Arabidopsis thaliana: one gene and its partners. The protein of the gene in region 1 interacts with the protein of each later gene in a pairwise test. Each region holds a gene or a part of one and is shown on either strand. Other genes may lie near its edges. The genes, in order: MBD5, GTL1, MYB65 and CIA2.

Evidence for each region.
Region 2: the proteins of MBD5 (region 1) and GTL1 interact in a two-hybrid assay, tested with the Arabidopsis thaliana proteins (one large-scale study listed by BioGRID).
Region 3: the proteins of MBD5 (region 1) and MYB65 interact in a two-hybrid assay, tested with the Arabidopsis thaliana proteins (one large-scale study listed by BioGRID).
Region 4: the proteins of MBD5 (region 1) and CIA2 interact in a two-hybrid assay, tested with the Arabidopsis thaliana proteins (one large-scale study listed by BioGRID).

What each region holds. Positions count from the first base shown.
Region 1 is NC_003074.8:17,146,099-17,150,204, reverse strand, and holds MBD5 (methyl-CPG-binding domain protein 5), read right to left. Parts: upstream 1,974-4,106; 5' UTR 1,809-1,973; coding exon 1,638-1,808; intron 1,336-1,637; coding exon 1,210-1,335; intron 1,129-1,209; coding exon 877-1,128; 3' UTR 608-876; downstream 1-607. Other genes in the region: AT3G46570 (Glycosyl hydrolase superfamily protein), read left to right, coding at 3,338-4,106. UniProt on the Arabidopsis thaliana protein: Transcriptional regulator that binds CpG islands in promoters where the DNA is methylated at position 5 of cytosine within CpG dinucleotides. In addition, binds specifically methylated m(5)CpNpN but not m(5)CpNpG (N is A, T or C).
Region 2 is NC_003070.9:12,050,713-12,056,768, forward strand, and holds GTL1 (GT-2-like 1), read right to left. Parts: upstream 4,042-6,056; 5' UTR 3,609-4,041; coding exon 3,319-3,608; intron 3,224-3,318; exon of another isoform or gene 3,122-3,223; coding exon of another isoform or gene 2,949-3,121; coding exon 1,487-2,948; coding exon of another isoform or gene 1,454-1,486; exon of another isoform or gene 1,405-1,453; coding exon 1,147-1,404; 3' UTR 665-1,146; downstream 1-664. UniProt on the Arabidopsis thaliana protein: Transcription repressor that binds specific DNA sequence such as GT3 box 5'-GGTAAA-3' in the SDD1 promoter. Negative regulator of water use efficiency (WUE) via the promotion of stomatal density and distribution by the transcription repression of SDD1.
Region 3 is NC_003074.8:3,600,178-3,605,919, reverse strand, and holds MYB65 (myb domain protein 65), read right to left. Parts: upstream 3,885-5,742; 5' UTR 3,715-3,884; intron 3,572-3,714; exon of another isoform or gene 3,391-3,571; intron 3,037-3,390; exon of another isoform or gene 2,930-3,036; 5' UTR 2,865-2,929; coding exon 2,493-2,864; intron 2,374-2,492; coding exon 1,365-2,373; coding exon of another isoform or gene 1,339-1,364; exon of another isoform or gene 1,272-1,338; coding exon 991-1,271; 3' UTR 748-990; downstream 1-747. Other genes in the region: AT3G11450 (DnaJ and Myb-like DNA-binding domain-containing protein), read left to right, coding at 1-461. UniProt on the Arabidopsis thaliana protein: Transcriptional activator of alpha-amylase expression that binds to 5'-CAACTGTC-3' motif in target gene promoter. In vegetative tissues, inhibits growth by reducing cell proliferation. Promotes the expression of aleurone-related genes (e.g.
Region 4 is NC_003076.8:23,165,747-23,171,804, reverse strand, and holds CIA2 (chloroplast import apparatus 2), read right to left. Parts: upstream 4,032-6,058; 5' UTR 3,413-4,031; coding exon 2,309-3,412; coding exon of another isoform or gene 2,282-2,308; exon of another isoform or gene 1,682-2,281; coding exon 1,529-1,681; coding exon of another isoform or gene 1,511-1,528; exon of another isoform or gene 1,093-1,510; coding exon 1,042-1,092; 3' UTR 780-1,041; downstream 1-779. Other genes in the region: PSD2 (phosphatidylserine decarboxylase 2), read left to right, coding at 1-37, 152-274. UniProt on the Arabidopsis thaliana protein: Responsible for specific up-regulation of the translocon genes TOC33 and TOC75 in leaves. Involved in the general chloroplast protein import pathway regulation, including protein import and protein translation efficiencies.

The DNA of each region.
Region 1 (4,106 bases):
ATAAAAAAATCTGAAAATATACCGCAGCGTAGTGCAGATGATTATCGACAAATCAACCGAAAATATCTTTTTTGAAAACTCGTTATTTTCGACGGGGGTGTATATGTTACTTTTGGTAATTATTCATCTCCACGCCGTTAGAATTCCTCGAATTTTGAGGTGGAGAATTTTTCCCATTTTGTTTTCTGATAGGAAACAAACGATAACTGAAAAGTGCGATAAGAACCCCTTTTTTATCCACTGCATAAGACAGAAAAGAATTATAGTCTTTGACGACAATGTTCTTAGCCATTTTAGAAAGAAAAAAAATTCTTAAACAAAGATCTAAAGAAAATATTTACTGTTCATAAACAACGAGCGTAAAATGTCAAAATTTAAAAATGCGTCTGCCGGGAGTCGAACCCGGGTCTATTGCTTGGAAGGCAATTATCCTAACCGTTGGACTACAGACGCTTTGGTTCATATTTTCACACTGTTCTGTTATAACTTGAACTTATTCCAAATTATGTCAGTATGCTTCCGTATATCATTTAGGACAAAGGCAGAGAAGCATAGATAGATAGAGCCTATGCATAACTGATGATTCACAATTTAAAGCAGAGAGAACTGAGCAGAGAAGTACCGCACATCGAACTTTAGATTTCATAACTTTGTTACTATCGGATTCTCTCAAAGGCAATAATATAGACATACATTGCCTTCAAATTATCTAAGAAAATGTTAAGAAAGTACATTACAACTCAAATCAAAGTGTTACTAAAACTATCACTACTAAAAAATTAACCTGCATTCCAACCAACGATCAGTAAATACTAAGTAGATATGATAATCTAGCAGCGCGTGTTATTACAATTTGTGAGTTTCTGCAGCAATCTTCTAGAACATCGTTTTTCCAGCGTTTTGGGAGGTGACAAGAGTGAATACTCTGTCCCAATCTTGGCTGACAGATTCTTGAATCTTGTAGTCCCCAATGAAAGGCAACCAAGCTTCTTCTGAACCGTTTATCCCAGTCCAAGTAACCTTCTCCGGCACATTCAGAAAATCGAAGTTCAACGGCTTTGGCGGTGGCTCAGTAACCTTTTTGTTGGATTTTGTCTGCCGCCTAGCGCTTCCTCTACCTTCAGAATGCTACAAAAATGTGCAAAAACAACAACAGTTCAGGTAAAACACGGGTTTAAACCTTAAGGTAATGTCTACTAACAAACTCACTTCGGAATGTGAGTCTCCGTTTTCCGCTGTCTTGACGGACTTCTTTTTAGGCGTCCCGTGTTCCAAATAGTACAAAACCTCGTTCTTGGACCGGAACTTACGACCCGTAATCGGTTCGTAGTAGAACTACATTACAAATACAAGACATCATCAAGCACTGCATTATCATATTCACACCTACAACATCCTAAACAGAGCAATCTTCATCCAACAAGCATACATACAGCAACGTTACACTTAAAGACTAGTTATAAAGTCTCCAAATACCTTAAAATATAAACCAATAAGATCATCATAACCTAACTTCAATACCCAATTTCATAAATACTAAGAAAAAGTTCCAATTCAAATCAACAAACAACATAACATTTCCATTTGTACGGACGATTCTATCTGCGAAGGAATTGAAAGGGCTGAGATTTTTTCACCTTATCAACAGTACCAGCTTTAGTGCCAGAGGTTCGAACCCTAATTTCGGTTCTCCAATCAGGAGGAAGCCAATTATCATCCCCTGGCGTCGCACGTTTCCGTGACTTCGAATCCACCGGAGTAGCCGGGTTCTCCGGTGGTGGTTGAGCCTGATCCGTGCCGTTCGACATTTCCGGAAACAAACCCTGTGGAGGTCTCCAGAGAAAGGTATGATTGAGTGAGTGTATATAAAATTGAGAGATTTTAATATTCCTTTCTTTTTGACTGAATCAGACAGAGTAAAAGACAGAAGTACAATTTGTAAGTTAGAAGTTTTGTTTCTGTTTTAAAGTTTGAGCTCGAGGAATGGCTTAATTAGCCACGTTGCAGTTTTTGGGCTTTTGGGCCCATTAAGGTAAATTAATTTCTTGTTGTGAATTAGAGTGGATAAAATATTTGTAACCGAAATCAAAATCGAAATGTGTGTAACTGATATAAATTATTTGAACAACTATGGGCCGATCGGTAAGGATGACGGTAAATGTTTTGGCTTTAAAAACTTTTACCATAGAAAATTTGGATGTAGAGACTTAACTGTTGAGATTTTAGATGTTAAATTCTGATTGGTAATATAAAGTTGTAAAAGCTTGAGTACTATTTTTACTATTATTAAATATATTTTTGTAAATAAAATTATGTTAAAATTGAATTATGTTTCAACATAGTGACACAAATATATTTTATTAATAATATAAAATTAAAATACAAAAAATATTCTTAAATAAATATTCTCAACAAATAAACTGCACATGTAATAAATAAATTATTTATTAGTAAATTGGATCTTAAAAGAAAATATAAAATTAATAATAATTAATTAATCAAAAATGATTTGTGAAAAAATATATATAAAATTGTAGAAAGTTTTTAATTATCATGGGAGAAGAAAAAGAAAAGTTTTAATATTTATTTGTTTGAAAGCCATGTAATCGTGACTTTAAAAAAAAAAAGGAAACAAAGAACAAATAAAAACAAGGCTTTGAGAACTTTAAAAAAAAATAAAGTCAAGAAAGCATGACTGTTAAAATAAAAACTGTGAGGACTTTAAAACACCTTTAAAGCTATGAGAGCATCCACATCGGTGATCAGTATATTGGATGTCTTAACTGCCAAATGAAGAGAGAGAAATTTATTGATAAAATGAACAGAGAGAAAATTGTTGGTCAAATGAAGAGAAAAAATAAAAAACAATAACACCAACCAATAGCATGGTGACACATTCGTGTTTTCCCGTATCAAAAAATGTTTTTCCACAGACATTAAAGTCATCATGTCACTCCTATTCAGCGCATTAATTCTCATCTTCCTATTTTTTTTATTCTGTTAAAATTTGAAGACACCTTTTAAATTTGTCCGATGAGGATGGTCTGAGAGTCCCTTCCCAATCACCCCCAAATACAATTAATTTGCAACTATTTACATCCTTATTAATGGTTTCAATTATCAAATGTTATTAATTTATGATTATTACATTATGTAGCAAAACTTCCACGTTTAGCAAAACTTCCACGTTTAGCAAAACTTACTAGGAGTGAGTGATTTTTTGGGAGCCACTCGCTCACGTCTCCACAATCAAACCGAACACGATCATGCTCCCAAAAAACAACTCCTAGTAAGTTTTGCTAAACGTGGAAGTCATAAAATAAACTCATTCACGATCATGTTGGGATCTAGAGTTGTTCATCAACTTTACTTCCTAATTCTCACTCTCATCCTTCCCTTCTCCGCTGCATATCAAGTCGGCGTAAACTACGGCACCGTGGCCAACAACCTCCCACCGCCTCACCAAGTCGTCAACTTCATCAAAACAAAAACAATAATCAACCACGTCAAAATCTTCGACACAAACCACGACATCCTCGCCGCATTTTCCGGCATTACAGGAATCTCCCTCACCGTCACCGTCCCAAACTCCGATATCATTTCTCTTTCCAAGCTTTCCAACGCACGTTCATGGCTCTCCGACAACCTCCTCCCCTTCCTCCTAACAACTTCAATCCGTTACATTGCTGTCGGAAACGAAGTCGTCGCCACATCCGACAAAACCCTCATCACTCATCTCCTTCCCGCTATGGAGACGCTTACGTTAGCATTACACCTTGCTAACGTCAGTAGGATCTTAGTCTCGACGCCTCACTCGCTCGGTATCCTCTCAGGCTCCTCCGAGCCACCTAGCTCCGGAAAGTTCCGTAAAGGGTACGACAAAGCCATCTTCTCTCCAATCCTAGACTTCCACAACCGCACCAAGTCTCCTTTTATGGTTAACCCGTATCCATATTTCGGTTTCGGACCTGAAACGTTAAACTACGCACTCTTTAACACAAACGACGTTGTATATGTTGACCCGGTTACGAAGTTGAACTACACCAACATGTTCGACGCTCAGCTTGATGCTGTTTACTCCGCAATGAAACGATTTGGGTACGGTG
Region 2 (6,056 bases), on another chromosome or scaffold:
CATTGTAATAATATCTTTTGTATAATTAGATACATACATTTTATATGTATAAAATGATTGCACGTTGGGGCAGCTGTGTTAAGACACAAAGAGGTGAAAGCAAGTTGGCAATCAAAGTGGTACTTACTCTTTCTTACCTGTACCCATTTCCTCCATTATTACTCTCTCTATCAAAAAGATACAGAATCTTTTCTTTTTCTTCTTCTTCTTTATTTTTTTTTGGTGTGATCATGCTGTCTCAATCCATCTTTCTATATTCTCAAACCATTATTTTTATTTTGTAAATTTACACGAGTAGTTTTTTACTTTTTGATACAGTTTTTTTGAAGGTAAAGAAAAAAGTTATAGAAAAAAAACAGAGAGATGAAAAATGAGTTAACATGAGAGTGGCACGAGTCTTGTCGTTGTAAGTACAAAAGCCTGCACATGCTTTTGATTGTAAGAAAAATAAAGTTTGAAACAAAAGAACAAAACTTTGAGCGACCCTGTTTAATTGATAGTGACACCAAAAATGAATAATGGCTTATCGGATTGTTTTTGTGGGCGCCGCAAAAAGGATTAAACATAAAAACACACAGATTCTCTCTTCTTCTTCTCCTCTCAATTACTTATGGCTTTGAGTCTCAGTCAAAAAAGCAAAGTGAATAAACCAATCTTTGTCATATATCAATTCAAATAGTAGTAATAATCAGTCATATATGTTTATCTTTGTCTGATAAACTAAATGATTCTAATTCTTACCTTAAAGGAAGAAAAAATAAAATAAAGACTCTTTATTCCCCAATTAACCAATCAACAAATGTTTTAAGAGAAAAAAAAAAAGTGTGAGACTTGCTGATGAAATTACAACTCCAAAATAATCTAAAAGACCTTTTAGCTAGAGTTTTTTGTTCATGTGGGGGTTGGAAGAAGAAAACAATGAACAAGAAGAAACAAACAAGAGACAGTGAGAAAGAAAAGAACAAAAGGGAAAGAATGTGAAAAAGAATTGTATTCACTGAAAAATCGAAGATCGATGAGACCTTGATATTTCAGTTTGTGGTGTCAGATGTGTGTGTGTGTGTGTTTGTGTTTTGTGTTTTTGGGTGTTTTGTTTAGAAAACTATGCACACATAAGTACATTTTCTTGAAACAATGATTCTGATTTTACTGAACCATTGTCAAGAAAGGTGGTTCCGTATGGCCATTGCCTCCTCTGTTTGCAGGGCTTTGAAACGCAATCTCGAAAGCCGCGGACTTCTCATCCTCGTCTAGTTCTTCCTCATCCATTTCCTGATCTTCCTCTTCCTCCATGTTATTATAATTGTGAGACTCTTCAATCTTTTCATACTCACCTATCATTGATTCTTGTTGTTGTAGTTGCTGTTGTTGTTGAATCAGCTCTCTCATCACAAGGTCTTCTGGCTTCAATTCCAACAAATCATATTTCAGTTATCAAAGAACATTAAACCAATCACATTTTGACAAGGAAAAGCAAAGTTTGTACCTTTTCTGTTCCTTGTGGACTTTCCTCTATAGGCTCTTCTTCCTCAGTTGAAGCTGACCCATGAGTTTGTTGAACATTAACAAGTCCTTCTTGTGGCGGTTTCATCGCAGTGACCGGACTCTGTTTTTGGTCTTGAGGTAGACCAGAAGTGCTAGAACCACCGCCACTACCGAGTACTTTGTTGCGGTAAAGAAGATCGAGGCGGTGAAAGTAAGGACAAGTCTTAGCATCTTGAGGACGTTTCTTGTTGCTTTCTTTAACTTTCTTGTAGTATTTGTTTATGTTTTCCCATTTCTCTTTACATCTCTTAGCGTTTCTGTTGTATCCCATTCTCTTCATTGAAGTTGAGATCTCTTCCCATAGAAGTCCTTTAGGTACATTATCTTGGTACCTTGGTTCCATTCCACTTCTCAGGTTTATAAGCGCTAGAATCTCTGCCTTTGGCCATCTTGATGATGATGGTAATGATGATTGTTCCGAGCTCATGACCATCTCTTGTTGTGGTTGTTGTTGTTGTTTCTGTTCTGGTTGATGAGCGTGAGGATGAGAAGGAGGAGGAGGAGGAAGAATTTGTTGTTGTGGAATCGCCATTATTGGTTGTTGTGATTGAGATTGAGCTGTTGATAATGGTGGTTCCGCCACACGTTTAGTGACCGCGGGTGGCGGTTGATACGGTGGAGGCGGTTGAGATGACAAAGAAGGAGGTAACTGAATGGTATGGCCAGTAATTTTCTGAATCAATGAAATGATTGCGGCGTCACGAGAAGCAGAGGCGGCTCGTTCTTGAGACATGACCTCGTGTTCTCGAGCTAACCGAGCCATTTCTTGACGTTTCCAAGCTTCTTCACGATCAAGACGTTCTTGCTCTCTCTTCTCAAGAGCTTCCAAGAAACTCCTTTGCATAGCCGCTTGCTTTTGCATTACTTGTCTCACCAAACCTTCAAACAATTCCATCATTTTACCGCCTCCACCGCGGTTTCCACGTTTGCGTTTTCGGCTACTAGAACCCGCAATGTTAGCCTGATCAACGTCCATATCGTCGTCATCATCATCAGACCCCATTCCTGAAGCCGTCGATGAGCTATGAGACGAGAAAGTAACACCGGTAAATATCGGACCCATTGAAGGAAGTGGAAGAGGTGGTGGAGTAGGAGTAAAAGAGACATTATGCGTTTGAGGCGGTTGCGTTTGCGTTTGCGGTTGCGGTTGAGAGAATACGGGAAATGGAGAAGAAGAAGAAGAAGGCATGAGAATGGGATTAGCGACGGAGAGAGGAGTAACGTCGAGGGAAGATGAAGGAGGAGTAGTGTTGAGAGCTTCAAGCTGAGAGAAGAACTTGTAAGCTTTACCATCATGACGACCACCGCGAGTTTCTTTAGTACGTTTGTAATATTTCTGAACGTTTTCGAATTTCTCTTTGCATTTCTTTGAACTTCGTTTGTAACCTAACTCCAATAGCTTCCTGTTTCCAAAAACATGAAAATAATTCAGATTCTCTAGTTTTATTTTATTTTTGGTTGTCGTTATTAGCTGGAAAATTTTTATGGTTACTGTTCGATCGGATTTTTTTTTTTTTTTTTTGGAAGTAAAGAGAGTCTTGGGATTTTCAAAATCGAAAACGTCCCAGAAACTCATGAACCAACTTCTGTAATAAACAAACAGTTCTTTTAATTTTTCTTGGGGATGGTGAAGATGCTTTGATCTCGAATATATTACTATTTATATATACCTAACACTAAAAAAAAAAAGTTAACAAAAAAAAAACACATGCAAATGGATCTCTATCAAGAAACACCATTGATGAAAATGGAAGAGAAGAGAGGAAGAGAGACCTGGAAACATGTTCCCAAAGAGGAGCTTTGAGAGTAGCATCACGAAAAGTAGAATCCATATCGGATCGGATCCGAAGAAGAGCTAAAGTTTCTTCTCTCGGCCATCGATTTCCCGATGAAGAAGAAGCACTTCCTCCTCCTCCTCCTCCACCTCCACCTCCTAATCCACCGTCATCCGCGGCGGCTGAGAATCTCATAAGCTCTTCTAAGTTGTTAGCAGGAGGTCTTGAACTAATAGGTGAAGCTTCCTCCACAACTTCATTACCACCACCACCTCCTCCTTGCTCCATCAATCTTGATGATGTTTCAATCTTTTTCTACACACACACTCTCTCTTTCTCTCTAGCTCCTCAATGTTTTTTGATATAAATCTCATAAAACCATTGATGATGATGATGAGAGAAATAAGAAAGAGAAGCAGTCTTTTTTTGTTTGTTTAAACAGCAACTAGGAGGGGTCTGAAGGAGAAAGGAGAGGATTACGAGGATGATGATGATAGATAGAGAGAAAGAGAATGAAAGCAAACAAGAAGTTAATAAAGCTGAAGCCTCTTCTAACTTTGCAGCAAATTATTGTTAAACCCACTTTTCTTCACTCTCTCTTTTTCTTTATTTATTTTATTTTCTTCCTTCTTTTATATTATTTAGAAAAAAAGGTCCACATCTATTTAATTAAATCCAATTTTATGTGTATTATTATTATTGTTATAAAGCAAAGAGTAAGGAAGGCTTTAAAAGTTAAATTTGGATCCGCAAACATCTCATTGCTCAGTGATCCGATTAAATTGTTTTTGGGTAAAAATTGTGTTTTGGAGAAATATAATAAACACAAAATCATGTGCCTCCCATGTTGTTGTCCTCTCCCACCATCATGTCTAAGGTGTCCACGTGGCGTTGTCTGATTGGTAGGGTATGTGACAATCAGATTTTTGGGGAAAGGGAGGGACAGAATTGGAATTTGATAATAGTTTTTACCCGATTTGAGCTGGACCAGCCTTGACATCTTTCCCCCCACTCTCTTTCCTCTCCAATTCAACAGTTTCTTTCTCTCTTTTTTTTTGTTATTGTGTAAATAATACATTTATAGAAACATATCAAACAATAGTGTTTTAGTGATGTCAAGAAAAGAAAAAAATAGTAAGTCCAAAGCCAGTGAAATTATTTTATGAATCATACATAGTGCATAATTAATTAACATAACCATGTAATTTTAAACTCGGAACTATCTTGGCAGGTCGGATCGATAACCTGACCCATGCATTAGTTTATGCGAAGCCAAAGCCAAACCCACTCACTACCAACACTATAACAGATTTCGTTTATGTCATTTTAAACATACTTTTTACTGAATTTGCAGCGAATTTAGCATACATGAATTGATATGATGGCTTGGTCACGATAACAAAGTTGCTAGACTCATTTGGACGCTACAATTTTACAAGTGATTCTTGTATGTTGGCATAATTTGGAATCAAGAACATGCATGGTCTGCAAAATCCCATAAATAAACAAACGTGACGTCAAGTGATCTTTGATATGTTCTTTGAATTTATTTTTTTCTCCAAAAAATAAGACATTCGTTTAGTTAAATGTTGATAGCTTGACATCGCTTTTTTTTTTAGTAACTCGTTTGGTTTTTAATTAAAAATGAAACTGTTAATTTCCTTTGCACATATATATGTGAATCAAAACAAAAGTCAAGATGATGATTTTATGTATTGGTGGTAACCAGAATTTTCGACAAAAGTACAAGATAACAAACTAATAAAGAAACCTTATAACAATTAGGTGAAAAATAATGAAAATAAGTACATTTTTTGAGATAGTAAAGCTGTGGTGAAGATAGACATAAGTGATCAATCAAAAATTGAATAGCCTCATATCTAAAATTAGTTGCAAACTCAAGACATCGATGCAGACACTCATACTATCACATTATACAACTCTTTAATACCTCTCACCTACACAAACATACACAAAATAAAAAAAAAACTCATTTTCATTACCAAATCACACTCTACACAAAAACACACCGCTCATTTCTAGTTATACACAAAAAAGGAAAACAAACTATTTCCTTCTAACAACAAAATGAAAGATGCTAATTAATAATAATGGTTAGAGAAGAAGGTGAAGAAGAAGAAGAAGGTGGGCGGTGGAAGTGGAGAACTTTCTTGAAGGGGAAAGAAAGAGAGAGAGCGGCGGATACACAGCTGTCTTCTCTTCTTCTTCCCCCCACTTTCACATGCCTCTCCTTTTTCACTATATTTATTACTTATTACATGTGATATGTTCTTTTTTTTCCTAATTATACAACTTTAATATTAGTACAAGTATAATAAGAATATAATTATACGAGGTGGTAAGAACATGCTCACGGAGTTTCCTTCCTTGATTTCTGACTGAATGAATCTCTCTTTTTACATAAGAGATCTAGATCTCATGAGGGAGTTTTGATTAAGACTTTGATTAACACACTAATCTTAAACACACAAAAGCAACGTCTCTCTCTACCAATAAATCTAATCTTATTAGGACACAACAAGTTGTCAAACTCATTACTTTCCCAACTTGTGTCATACGAGGACTTACCAAAGATAACGAGTCAACATCATTTTGACGGGGTCACAAAACAAATTTATAGTTAAAATGGTCCAGCGATATTTTTTTTTGTAATTCCATGAATTTTCACACCCACGTAAAATCCATATTCCTCCTCTCACAAATATATCTACAATT
Region 3 (5,742 bases), about 14 Mb from region 1:
ACATTGGTACAGGAAGATCTGTAGAGGAAATTCTGAAAGCAACTAAAACAGTTCTCCTGCAAAAACCAGATTCAGCTAAAGCATTCGATTCTTTCCTCGAGAAGAGGAAACCCTCTGCTTCAATCACATCCCCTCTCTCCACAAGAGAGGAGCTCGGAGAATCTCTACCCACAATGACGACCACAACAAATGCAAAGCCCTCTAAAGAGACTGTTGTGGGGAAAAGCTCGAGCAGTCAAAGCTCAGACAACAATGGTGAAGTAGGTGGAAGTTCAGACGCAGATAGTTGGTCGACTGTGCAAGAAAGAGCTTTGGTTCAAGCTTTAAAGACATTCCCGAAAGAGACAAGCCAAAGATGGGAGAGAGTAGCTGCAGCTGTCCCTGGTAAAACGATGAACCAATGCAAGAAGAAGTTTGCAGAGCTTAAGGAAATCATTAGAAACAAGAAAACCGGAGTATGAGGTAAAATCATTTCGGAGTCCCATGAGAATTTTGGGTTTTAATCCTCTTGGGGCACCGTTACTTTGCGAGAAGCAAGACCTAAAACTTTTTTATTATTTGTAATGATTCATTTCCCTTTGATGTCTCTATATATTGAGAGTGCTGGAGCCACTATTATGGAGTATGTTGTTTTTTACATAATCTTATGTAACGTTTGATTAGCGTCTAGTTTCAAGTTGTGAAATAAAGCGCATCGCTCATGCTGCTGTGTCTCCGGTCCCAATTAGAGGTTGGGCTACAATAAGCCCTAATTTTGATTTGCTTCTTTACAATCTAAACAAAACCAATCGAGCTAGTATGATGGAAGTAGCAGGAACAAGAAATGAGTATATATAAATGCCTTCCAAGTATAAGAAAAATCAGGTGAAGAAAATCCAAATTTTTACCAAGTCCACAAATCTTCTCTCAACTATAACAAACCACCAAGTCATGTAAGCCAGGTGCATGAAAATACAGAAAGATTCAAATTGTGTGATATGGTTCATTTTGTTACAGCGACCAAACAGGAGGCATATTGGTCCATCCATAAGACCCGACGCCTCGTGGTGCTTGACCTGATGATGACCCAACAGTCACGTAACTGTTCCCAATGTCGTCACCACCAAGAAGTGCAAGCGCATCACTCATGCTGCTTGTGTCACTAACAATGCCATAACAGCCTTGGTCAAGCCAGCTCGACGCAAGTAAAACATCAGGCCGTGTTATATCAACTCTCTTTGGTTCCCAAACCTGATCCAACTCTTCTGTCTTTACAACATTCCCTGCAAAAGCTTCATATACGAAAACCAACACAGCTGCATAAGAATCAATATGGAACAAGAGTAGATAAGATACCAATCAACAAGTAACTTTGATCAACTCACCTGATGAAAAACCACCTGCACTAAGTTGCGAGGGACTTGTAATCTCGGAGCGACCCAAATACTTTTGGGAATCTTCATATTCTCCTGATTTGATCAGGTTTTCGCTGCCACGTGGTACATTCTGAGTAACATTGGTCGTGCAAGTAGTTGAACTGAAACTCTTCTGGGGTGATGACATCAACAAACTGTGCTTCGCACTAGTTTTGATCTTGGCCTCATGAAGTAACATATCTAGTAGGCCGGTGTCGCATGAAGAGAAACAATCTGACTCCTCTACCTGCGATGGTGGTGGAGATTGAATATAGGCATCAACAGAGTCAAGGAGATCTGAGTGTGGAGGTGACGGAGTCGTCTTCCACTGATCAAATGCACTAGTTTCTGAATATTGGAATGAAGGGAGCTCCAGCTTCACTGCCCCAAACAAGGGCTTAGAAGTAGGATGCATGCCATACGTAACTGTATGGCTATCAGGAACCATCATCATATGAGACGAATGTTGGTTTTCATAAGGATGATGATCAACATCACAAGGCGAGATACTGCAAGATCTGGGATTCTTCTGTACAGCCGTATTCTGAAAGTGTTCCGGCGATTGGAATTCATGCTTTATGTTACTGCTGCACATGGGAAACCGAGATCCAGATTCCCAGATTTGCTTTGGGGAAGGCAATATTGGTGGCATGTAGCTCTCATACCGGGAAGAACTTGCGCCAGTTCCTAGCATGTTGCATGCAACCAAATCTGATAGGTCAGAAGCGGCAGGTAACAAGCTAGCAGCAAAATTTAGATCGTCAAATAAGACATTATCTTTAGAATTCCCCAACTGCAAGAAATCTTGATGTCTTCTTCTTCTATCTACTCTTATGATATTACTCTTTGTATACTCTTCGCTCCAATGAAGGTCATCAACATAGATTTCAGGAGGGTAAAGTGGTAAGCCTGCTCGTTGTCTCCTCTTGATACGAGTGTTCCAATAATTCTTTATCTCATTATCTGTTCGACCAGGTAACTGGTAAACAAGAAGAAAACATCATACCAGAGATTAATTAGTCTTTAGGCTCACAAAGAATATCAAAATATGAAAATGGACCATGATCAGGTAGCTTCCGCAGTTACAAAACTACTTACATGTTCAGCCATCTGTGCCCATTTATTTCCCATCTTGGCGTGCATTTCAACAATGAGCTGTTCTTCTTCTTGGCTAAATGCTCCTTTCTTCAAGTTTGGCCTCAGATGATTAGCCCATCTCAGACGACAGCTTTTACCACAACGGGCCAGGCTAGTGTGTTTCTGCACAGCATTCCAGTTACCCTCGCCGTGCTTCTTTACATAATCAATTAAAATCCCGTCTTCAGTTGAAGTCCATGGTCCTTTCTTCAGGACACTTCTTTTCCCTCTACTTCTGCAGCCATTGCTAATACTATCAGGAGCTGGTGATTCATTATGGATGCTGGAGTGCATACCATCATCACTATCAGCAGTCGCCGTCGTGTAACTCATCTCTTTCTACTTAAAGCAAGACAGACTCCAGCAGTTCAATAACAATTTAGACATCAAGCTCCAACCTGAACCAATTAAGAGGAAAAAGAGACAAATTAATATTTCAGCCAGCATTCATGTAGTTATCAACAAAATAATGACATGATAAACTTGTAAAAGGAGGCGATAATTGAAAAATATGTCTAGTAGATTCATCATATCTACCGCTGAGATATGAGTTGATACTAGGCAACAACTAAAAGTCTGTAATGAAATTTCTACAGAACACTAGTGACACCATTTTGACGAATAGATTTCGTATTTGAATGAAAATCCAGAAATGGAAACCAGAAACTAGCTAAGCACCATTTTATAGCTCTGATACTTTGAAATGACTTCTGTATCAAATTCGCAATCTCTAAATCTTAGTTCCAATTTCGAATACTAATAAATCGATTTTCAATGAACCAGAAATTACGATTGAACAATCAAAATCCATATATACAAGAATCAAAAAGCAGCAACTAAAGGTACAACAAAGACGAACCCTAGCTGAGGTAAAAGTAAGCTCTATATTGAGTATCTAGCAATCTGAATACAATCAGCAAACCATAGACAAATACGAAGTCGTCGAGATCTACAACATGAGACGAAATCGGAGCTCGAGTTTGAGCTGAAGATATCCGATTTGGTTATCGGAAAACACACAAATCGTAAATTTGAATCGGAAAAACGTTAGCTAAAAATATCAAGCTCAACAACTGATTAGAGAGAATGAAAACAGAGATTGAAGATCAGAGATCCGTGGAAATGGATTCAAGAGCTAGTAACGGAAGAACAATCTAGAAGAAGAAGAAGAAGAAAATATTACCAGGAGTGGGAGAGAGATAACGCGGGAAAAAGCTCGAGAGAAGATATCTCAGAGAATCGACAGAGACAAGGATGGAGAAAGAGATCAAAGTAACAGAGGAAGAAGATTCATCAGAGCTGAACAGAAGTGGAAAAAAGAGATGAATTTAGAAATAAACATCAAAATATTAAAACTCTCCTCACTTAATTAATTATTTTGCTTTTTATTTCCGCGTTATAAATAAATTATAGAATAAAAAAAACACTAAGAATCCAATATCTTTATTAGAAAATCAATTAACTCAAAAAAAATCCCGTATCTTTTTTATCAATTTTAAAATTTTATAAAATTCAAAGATTTTAGGTTTAAAAATAATAATCGTAATATTAATATTTACGAAATGTATCATTTAAAAATAATTATGGATAAAGGTTTGGTATAATCGTATACGTCTTGATAAAAAGGAACCCACCAAACATAAATTGGAATGTTGTACTTTAATTTAATGATGTATAAATGAGCTTATTGACGTAGATACGTTGAGATTACGAGAATCCGCACTCATATTAACTACTGTACTAGTGTCATTCATTCTTTGTCAACTAATAGATTATGACAGTGATTCTCTAGCTAATCAGACGATTGGCTTGAATCTGTTTCATGTCACAGCTTCTTCACTATATAATATACATAGTAAATATTTGTTGTCAGAAGTATATAATGATGAATAATTTGGTTCTTATTAAATTATAAAAAATAAAAATTGGTTCTTTTTTTTTTTTTTTTCCTTGGGCTAAAAGCCTAAAACCCAAAGATTTTTAACTCAAATTGAGGAACTGCTATAGTAGGATCCACATGTGCCCATATTGATTTCGGCATCGAAGAAAAACAAAAAATTGGGCTTTAAAAGTGGATCTTCATCATCCATGAAGGTGGTATATCAATTCATCTACCGACATTTGTATTACAAAATATTATTGAGATAGTAGTAACCAATATGTTAAAATTCAACCATAGCACTGTTTTCCATCTAGTTAACAATTAGCTAAAGCCTTTGAGGAAAGAGGAAGGTGAGCGAGCGCGTGGACCTCGTGATCCTGAATAGCTCACGTATTGTTTGTGGCCTGAATTCTGGTTATGTACATAAATAATGTTGTATGAAGATAAGTACAGGCCTGACGCAAGCCCGACAATACAAGAAAAATGATAAAAGAGAAAGATGATAAAAATGCTAATGTACCATATATATGATCCATTGCACCAAACCCACAAAGATAAAAAGGTGCTTTCGGCTTTTTGGCTTATGTTTTGAGACTCTAGAAATAAATATATTCTACTAATAAGTGTGGTAATGTATTGTTCAACATATATCTTTCAACGCTGCCGAATTTGAATTCGAATTATGTTTATTTATAGTCTTATAGAAACTATTTGATTCAATCAATTAGAATACAAATAATTGGTTTTTAAAAAGAAGTTACATAAAGTATGTGAAGAAAGGGATGGAGGGAATAATAATATAGAAATATGGAAAGCAGTGTAACTTGGTAAACGTACGAGGAACGTAAAGAGATCAGTTCCACTTCTCCGTGTCTCACGCTTGTCTCTTCCCTCTCTACCTTTTCTCTATTTCGTTTCACACCTTTTATTTCATCTTAAAACTTGCTCACTAGTAAAAGAAATTCTGACGATTTTCAGCAAACCATTACTGATGATTAGTGTTTGATCTTTAAATTCGCTGACTAAATAGTTGGAAATTTATTTGACGGTATAACTAAAAATTATCTAACCAAATCAAATATTTAAAATCCACCATATAGAGTAACGAACTTCGACAAACTTAATACATTTCGATGGATTCTTTAGCATGAGTGATCTGGTAATTTGATATCATAGTTGATGGCTTGAACACAAGATAAAACGATTTATACAGTCTTTTGTAGACTAACAAATATCTATATATGGGTACGGTTATGGCAAATGATATGGTTTGAATTGAATATGGATGACAAAATTGGCCTCTATTAGACGTTTGTACTTTGTACTAAT
Region 4 (6,058 bases), on another chromosome or scaffold:
GTTTGGTGGAAGCACAGTTATATGTGTCTTTGAAAAGGTTAGTGACTTATTATATCTTAATCTTAAAATCTTAAGAACAGTTTTATGCTTTTAAAATGATATCTTCACTGTTGTTTTCTTTCAATATGAACCTTCCATTTGAATTATGCAGGACGCGATCGGGATCGATAATGATCTCTTGGTTAACAGTGGTAGGTCTTTAGAGACATTAGTGAGTGTTGGAATGCAATTAGGTGTCTCCACAAGGACATTTGCTAGGTCTACATTGATCTGAAAATCTTTGCCACTGAACTGATTACCAGAGACCAATTTGGTTTGATTTGATTTTCCTCTTGTTTCGTGCATAATAACTCTGTATATAAACCAAACGATATCTCTTGTATCATGTATACAAGTAATGAGCTCAACACATTCCTTGTGCAGAGAGTTCTGTTTTTGCCATTCCGTCAAGCCTTGTAAAATAACACTCGATTCTTGGTCAAAGATAAAATGGTATCTAGAAGAAGCTACCATTCAAAAATCATATAACACGTCCTAGAAGCTATTTTTGCCCTTAATTCAATATGCTTTTTCTCTATAATGTTTTTATTGGGAAAGGAAATTTGGCTCGGCAAAAACAGATATTGAGAGGTATCAATGATTTGTCACCGGTTTTGATGACTCAAAGAAGCAATGGGCAACGAAACAACAGGTGTACAAGGCTGCAACATAGTTTGAGCCATTGGGATTGGTGAATAATCCATGTCTTGTTTTTTGCTACTGTTGTTGTTGAGCCAAGTCTCTGACTTGCTTCTTGAGTCATTAAAATCTCAAGAGCTCTGTTTCTTCTATTAATAACAAAAACTTTTATTAGTTTTGATCCCTCACTTTCTCAATCAAATCTCCCCCTCATCAAAAAATCTAAATTATAAACCAAAAGGGACCATAACTTAAAAGAAACAAAAAAGGAGGGTGCCAAAATTTTAGAAACAAAAATAAAACAAGGAATAAACAAAAGATAAAAAAAAAAAGATAAGATAAATCTAGGCTCTTTTATCCTTGTTATCTTTGTCCACTTGGAGTGCTCTCATTGGGCCTTCTCACGAATCGTCCCTGTTCCCACATCCCATCACCAACCACAAAAAGAAAAGAAAACATTAATATTAGGTTCTTGTCTTAATCAAATCTAATGTATATATCCCTAGCCCTTGACCTCAATCTAACGTTATTAGTTAGTTTTGTTTCCTTTAGATGACAATTCTTAATATATTTAACCTTTGGTTTGGTTTTAAATCTTTTTGTTTGGCTTGTGGTACGTAGTTTCCTTTACTTGTTCGGTTTGGTTCATTTGGAATAAAGATACCCAAAAGAAAGCTTATTTCATCTTCTTGAAGAAAAAAAACGAATAGAAAAACTCAACAAGAGTTTTCTCATCTACTTTAAATCTGAAAACTAAAGCTAGTCTTATTATGCTGATTCAAAACAAATTTTGAAGGATGGTAAAAAAAACCTACATGTTTTTAACCACTGACTAAGATGGGTTAGATACCTTCATTCGAGGACGTTGATCAGCATTGAGTTTGCGAACTTGGTATCGAATTTTCTTCGAAAAAAGACGAGTTCGACGTTTCTCTTTGTACCTCAAAACACTTGCTTCTCGCATTCCACTGTCTCCGAACAAATCAATCTGAGCTAATCTAGCCTGCCCCAAAACACACACGCCACATTAGTTCATGTTCAACATTATTAATAACACAAAATACTAATCAATTGACAAAAATGAATTTCTAGTTAACTTATTTTGTAGACTACTAGACTTTATGCTAAAAGGAGTATTCGACGAAACGGATATCTACAAAATAAATTTTGAACCTCCTCATTTATCCTATACGTGAAAATTCACGTGCACAGTCTATAAAGTTTTCATTGGACAAATAAAAAGCAGCTTTTTTTTTTCTTAATTGATTGAAAGTCATCACAGAAAAAAATGTTATTTATAATAAAAAGAAGACTATGTACCAAAGTCAAAGGGTTAATAATTATTCTTCAAAATACGTTACAGGAAAAATTATTAATAAGAACTTTCCACAAAATTTAATAAATTCTTGTCAGATACTTCAAACTATATCATAGCTAATAAATTACTAATTCAGCATTAATGAGAACACACTCCTCAACAGCCACGTGGCAGAATACTAATGGCCAAAACAGAATCCCGAATAATTAATTATTTCAAACTAACCATTAACTAAAGAAAAATAAACATAGAAAATATCGAATTTTAACGGCGAGGGATTTGAGATTAAGAAGAGATTAGTGTTAAACATACATTGACATCGACAGCTTCCGATCCCTGAATCTCGTCGGGAAACGGCGACGTTTTATCAGACCAAGCTTCCAAAACGCCGTCGTAATCAAGCTTCAACAACGGACCTGTTCTCTTCAAACTCGTCTCCTCCGTATCTTCCAAGCTTTTCGATTCCGTAATCAATGTCGTCGTCACCGTCATTTTCTTCTTCTTCTTCTTCTTATTACTCTTCTCTCCAGAGATTACCACCTTCTTACCGTCGGATTTCTCCTCATCAACGGTGGAGATTGCAGTTTCGGTTTTGACAGTTTGAATTCGCGGCGAGATCTGTTCGAAATCAACGGTATGAATCTTCCACAATTTTGTGTCGTCGTTTTCTCTGAGAGCACTTCGTAATCCAAGCCCTAACGGGAAATTGAATCCGTTAGAGCTTCGATTCCATGAATTGATCATCATCATCTGTTCTAGTTTACCAATCCGATTAGAAGAACTTCTTCCACCGCGATTGATCATTCCCGGAACCCTAGATTCATAAATCCCCGAATTTGAATTCGATTCCACCACAGTCCCCATTATACTATCGATTCCTTCTTCAATATCCTCATCGAGAATCGATTCAGCATCGAATTCGTCGGAGAAATCAAACTTTTCGATTTCACCACCGTAGCAATCTCCACCGGAGTTAACTTCCTTCTGGTCTGAGAAAAACTCTGTTTTCGTTTGAATCGTTGGATGAAACAGAAAATCAGGTTCTTCGATTGATTCATAAGGAAGAAGCAAATCAGAAGCGTCGTCGTTGTCACTAAGCAATGGCCCGTAGAAGTGAGAGTTTGATGAAGAGTGAGTTTTTTGCTTAGAGGACAAGTTTGAGGAGAAGATGTTGGGATAAGCAGTAGAGAGAAGAGTAGCTGCTTCGTTGTAAGTCTGGTTTGGTCTTTTGCGTTGTGTTCTTGGCTTTCTCGTTGAGATTGCGAGTGGTGAATTTGATGATTCGGAGATTGTTGATGATGGTGAAGTAGCTCTTGTTGTTGTTGTTGAGGATGATGGTGGTGGTGATTTCACTTTTTCTAACTCGAAACTATATGCTGCTGCTCCTCCTCCTCCGCTGCTTAAACACGCCGACATTTTTTTTGTCCGGTGAAATCGGAAAAGAAACAAGACCAAAACTTTGAAGATTGTAAGAACTTTTGTGAGTGAGAAGAGAGTGATGAAATTAAGATTTTTGCCTTTTGATTAAAGAATTGTGTTTAATTTTAAGATAATAATAAACCCTTAAAACCCACTGAAGAAACCTTTTTTTATTTGGTGAGAAAATACAAAATTGAAGGGGGAAAAAAAGATCAAAACTTTAGGGAAAGAGGAAGATTCTGCTAACAAATGTTCATCATTTGAAAGAAAGAGCTAAGAAAACCCATTTGGAATCTGAGATTTATGTGTATGAAAACCAAAAGAATTGGCCAACGAGTGAGGTTTTACAGAAAGAAGCTAATTGGTTTGTGAAGAGGGAGAGAGAGATTGGAGGAGAAAGAAGAGTCACGAGATATATAAGAGGAGAAAGATTAGGGTTTTAGTGAGAGCTTAGTAACAAACAAAGGAGAGTTTAGTAAATAAATAGTGAAGAGCGTTTTTTTTTTTTTTGGTTTAGGGGTAATTTTAACTTTGAGAAGAGAAGTTGTGGAGAAACAGAGAGAGTGGTGGGAAGAAGAAGACGAGAGAGAGAGAGAGAGAGTGAGCGAATGGTGAAGAAGGGACAAGATAGCTCGTAATCGGCAATTCTGGAATGAATGGGGTCCACCAGTGGATTTTTTCACTTTTTGTATTGATTTAAAATTACTTTGTAAAACGAGTTTTCTTATGGATAGAGATACTTCCACGACTAAAGATTTCTATTCCATTTCAGAAATAGCCATTCAAAAGGTTTATAAGGTAAATTTTGTTACTGAAAACTCTTGGCTAATCTACAATGACTGGTGTTTGAATCAAAGTAAATTTCTCTATTTATTTTTTTGTTATAATGTTAATTAAGAAAAAAAGCTTTAAACAATGTTTGAGAGTTATTGAGAAATGATTTGGAGATTGAAAACAAAATAATGAAAAATCAATTGTTAAACCTATAATAAAGCGATATGATTGTGGCAACGATCGGTCATAATACGATTGAATTAAATTTGTTATGTGTTGATTTAACAAATTTATTTGTTCATTAACATTTACTCAAAATATAAAATATTAATTTTGTGACGATTTGGTAATAATGTAATGTAGCGACGATCGTTCATTCTTAAAGTTAAATTTTTATGTATTACATTAATATAACGACAGTAAGTCATTAATTCAAATTGAGTAAATCTTTTATGTATTGATTTATTGATATTATCCACTTGTTACACAATAATTTTTACCCAAAAATTTAAGATATTATTTTGCATATCGATCTTGTGGTGAGTAAGTAATATAACAGCGATCAGTCATTAATTTGAAAGGGGGATAAATATTTTGAGTGTGATTTATCGAAATTACTCATGATTGAAAAATATTAATCACATCATCGATTAAGTGGTAAGTAATGATGTAGCGCCGATCAATTGTCTAATCCAGCCTGTGGCAGTATTATATTAGTTGAGGTTGAGGATTTTTCTTCTTAGTTGATACCAAAAATCGAGTTCTACCATTCACAATATTTAATTTCAGCTCTTTAAACTAGTATAGAGTTAAACAAATTTATCCACTATTAGTTTTAGTTTCAATTTAGAGTCACCATATATTAGTTTAATTTTTGTTTCTATTAATTGCAGGTCCGGCTCTACACATGTGCCGGAGGAGCGAGGCACAGAGTCAACCCAAAATTTCTCTTTTTTTTGAAGTAAATCTAATACAATTACGATCCAAAAAAAAGATTTACATAACAAAACATAGGAAATGAGAACTAATTTTTTTTTCAGCTCTGGGTCCTTTATTATTTTGAGCCGACCCTGATTAATTGTAGCTAGAAGTGAAGCCATATATTGGTTTATATTTTAGTTTATGATATCTAGATTTTAAATAGAATTCGAAGTTATATTTTTTTACAGGTTTTGTAGAAGATTTTATTTAAAATTTGATATATATTTTTGATAATAGTAATAGTTTTAATAAGATTTCTCAGTTTTAATTTATTGATTTGGTTGTGATATCCGATTTCTGTTCTTCTTGAATAAAGTTTAACCAAGAAAAGATGCTCAAGAGTTTAATCCAGGTTGTTTAGTGAGTAATAGTCATTAATGATCCTTTTTGACTGGAGGGAAATGTGATTCTGTTTTTGGATTATTTTCTAAAAAGATGTAAAAACCACATCATCATCATCCAAATCTGCAAAATCTTTTTGGGATCTTAAAGAGAAAACGAGGAAAGGTCACCTTATCCATTGACGTGGCACATACCCATTGGCTCTACTAGATTTCTTTGATGACGTGGTGCTTTCTCAATTAACTGATTATGGTCGCCTGGTCGGAGACGTTTTCACGTGTTCTTAAAAAACCGACTTTATTATTTTACTAATTTCCCTTTATTAGTAAGATTTTTTTTTTTTTTCAAATTTACTAATTTAGCATATTTGGGAAAAAAATATTAGCATAAATTGATACTTTCTTATCTATATTTTAGATAATTTTTTGGATATATATATAGACATGATAATTGAAAATTTATTTCTTTCATTGACTTACTTTTTCAAGGTTAGTTTTATGTTAAACTTTCAAACGTTTCTGCAAAAGAAACATTAGAAAAGTAACG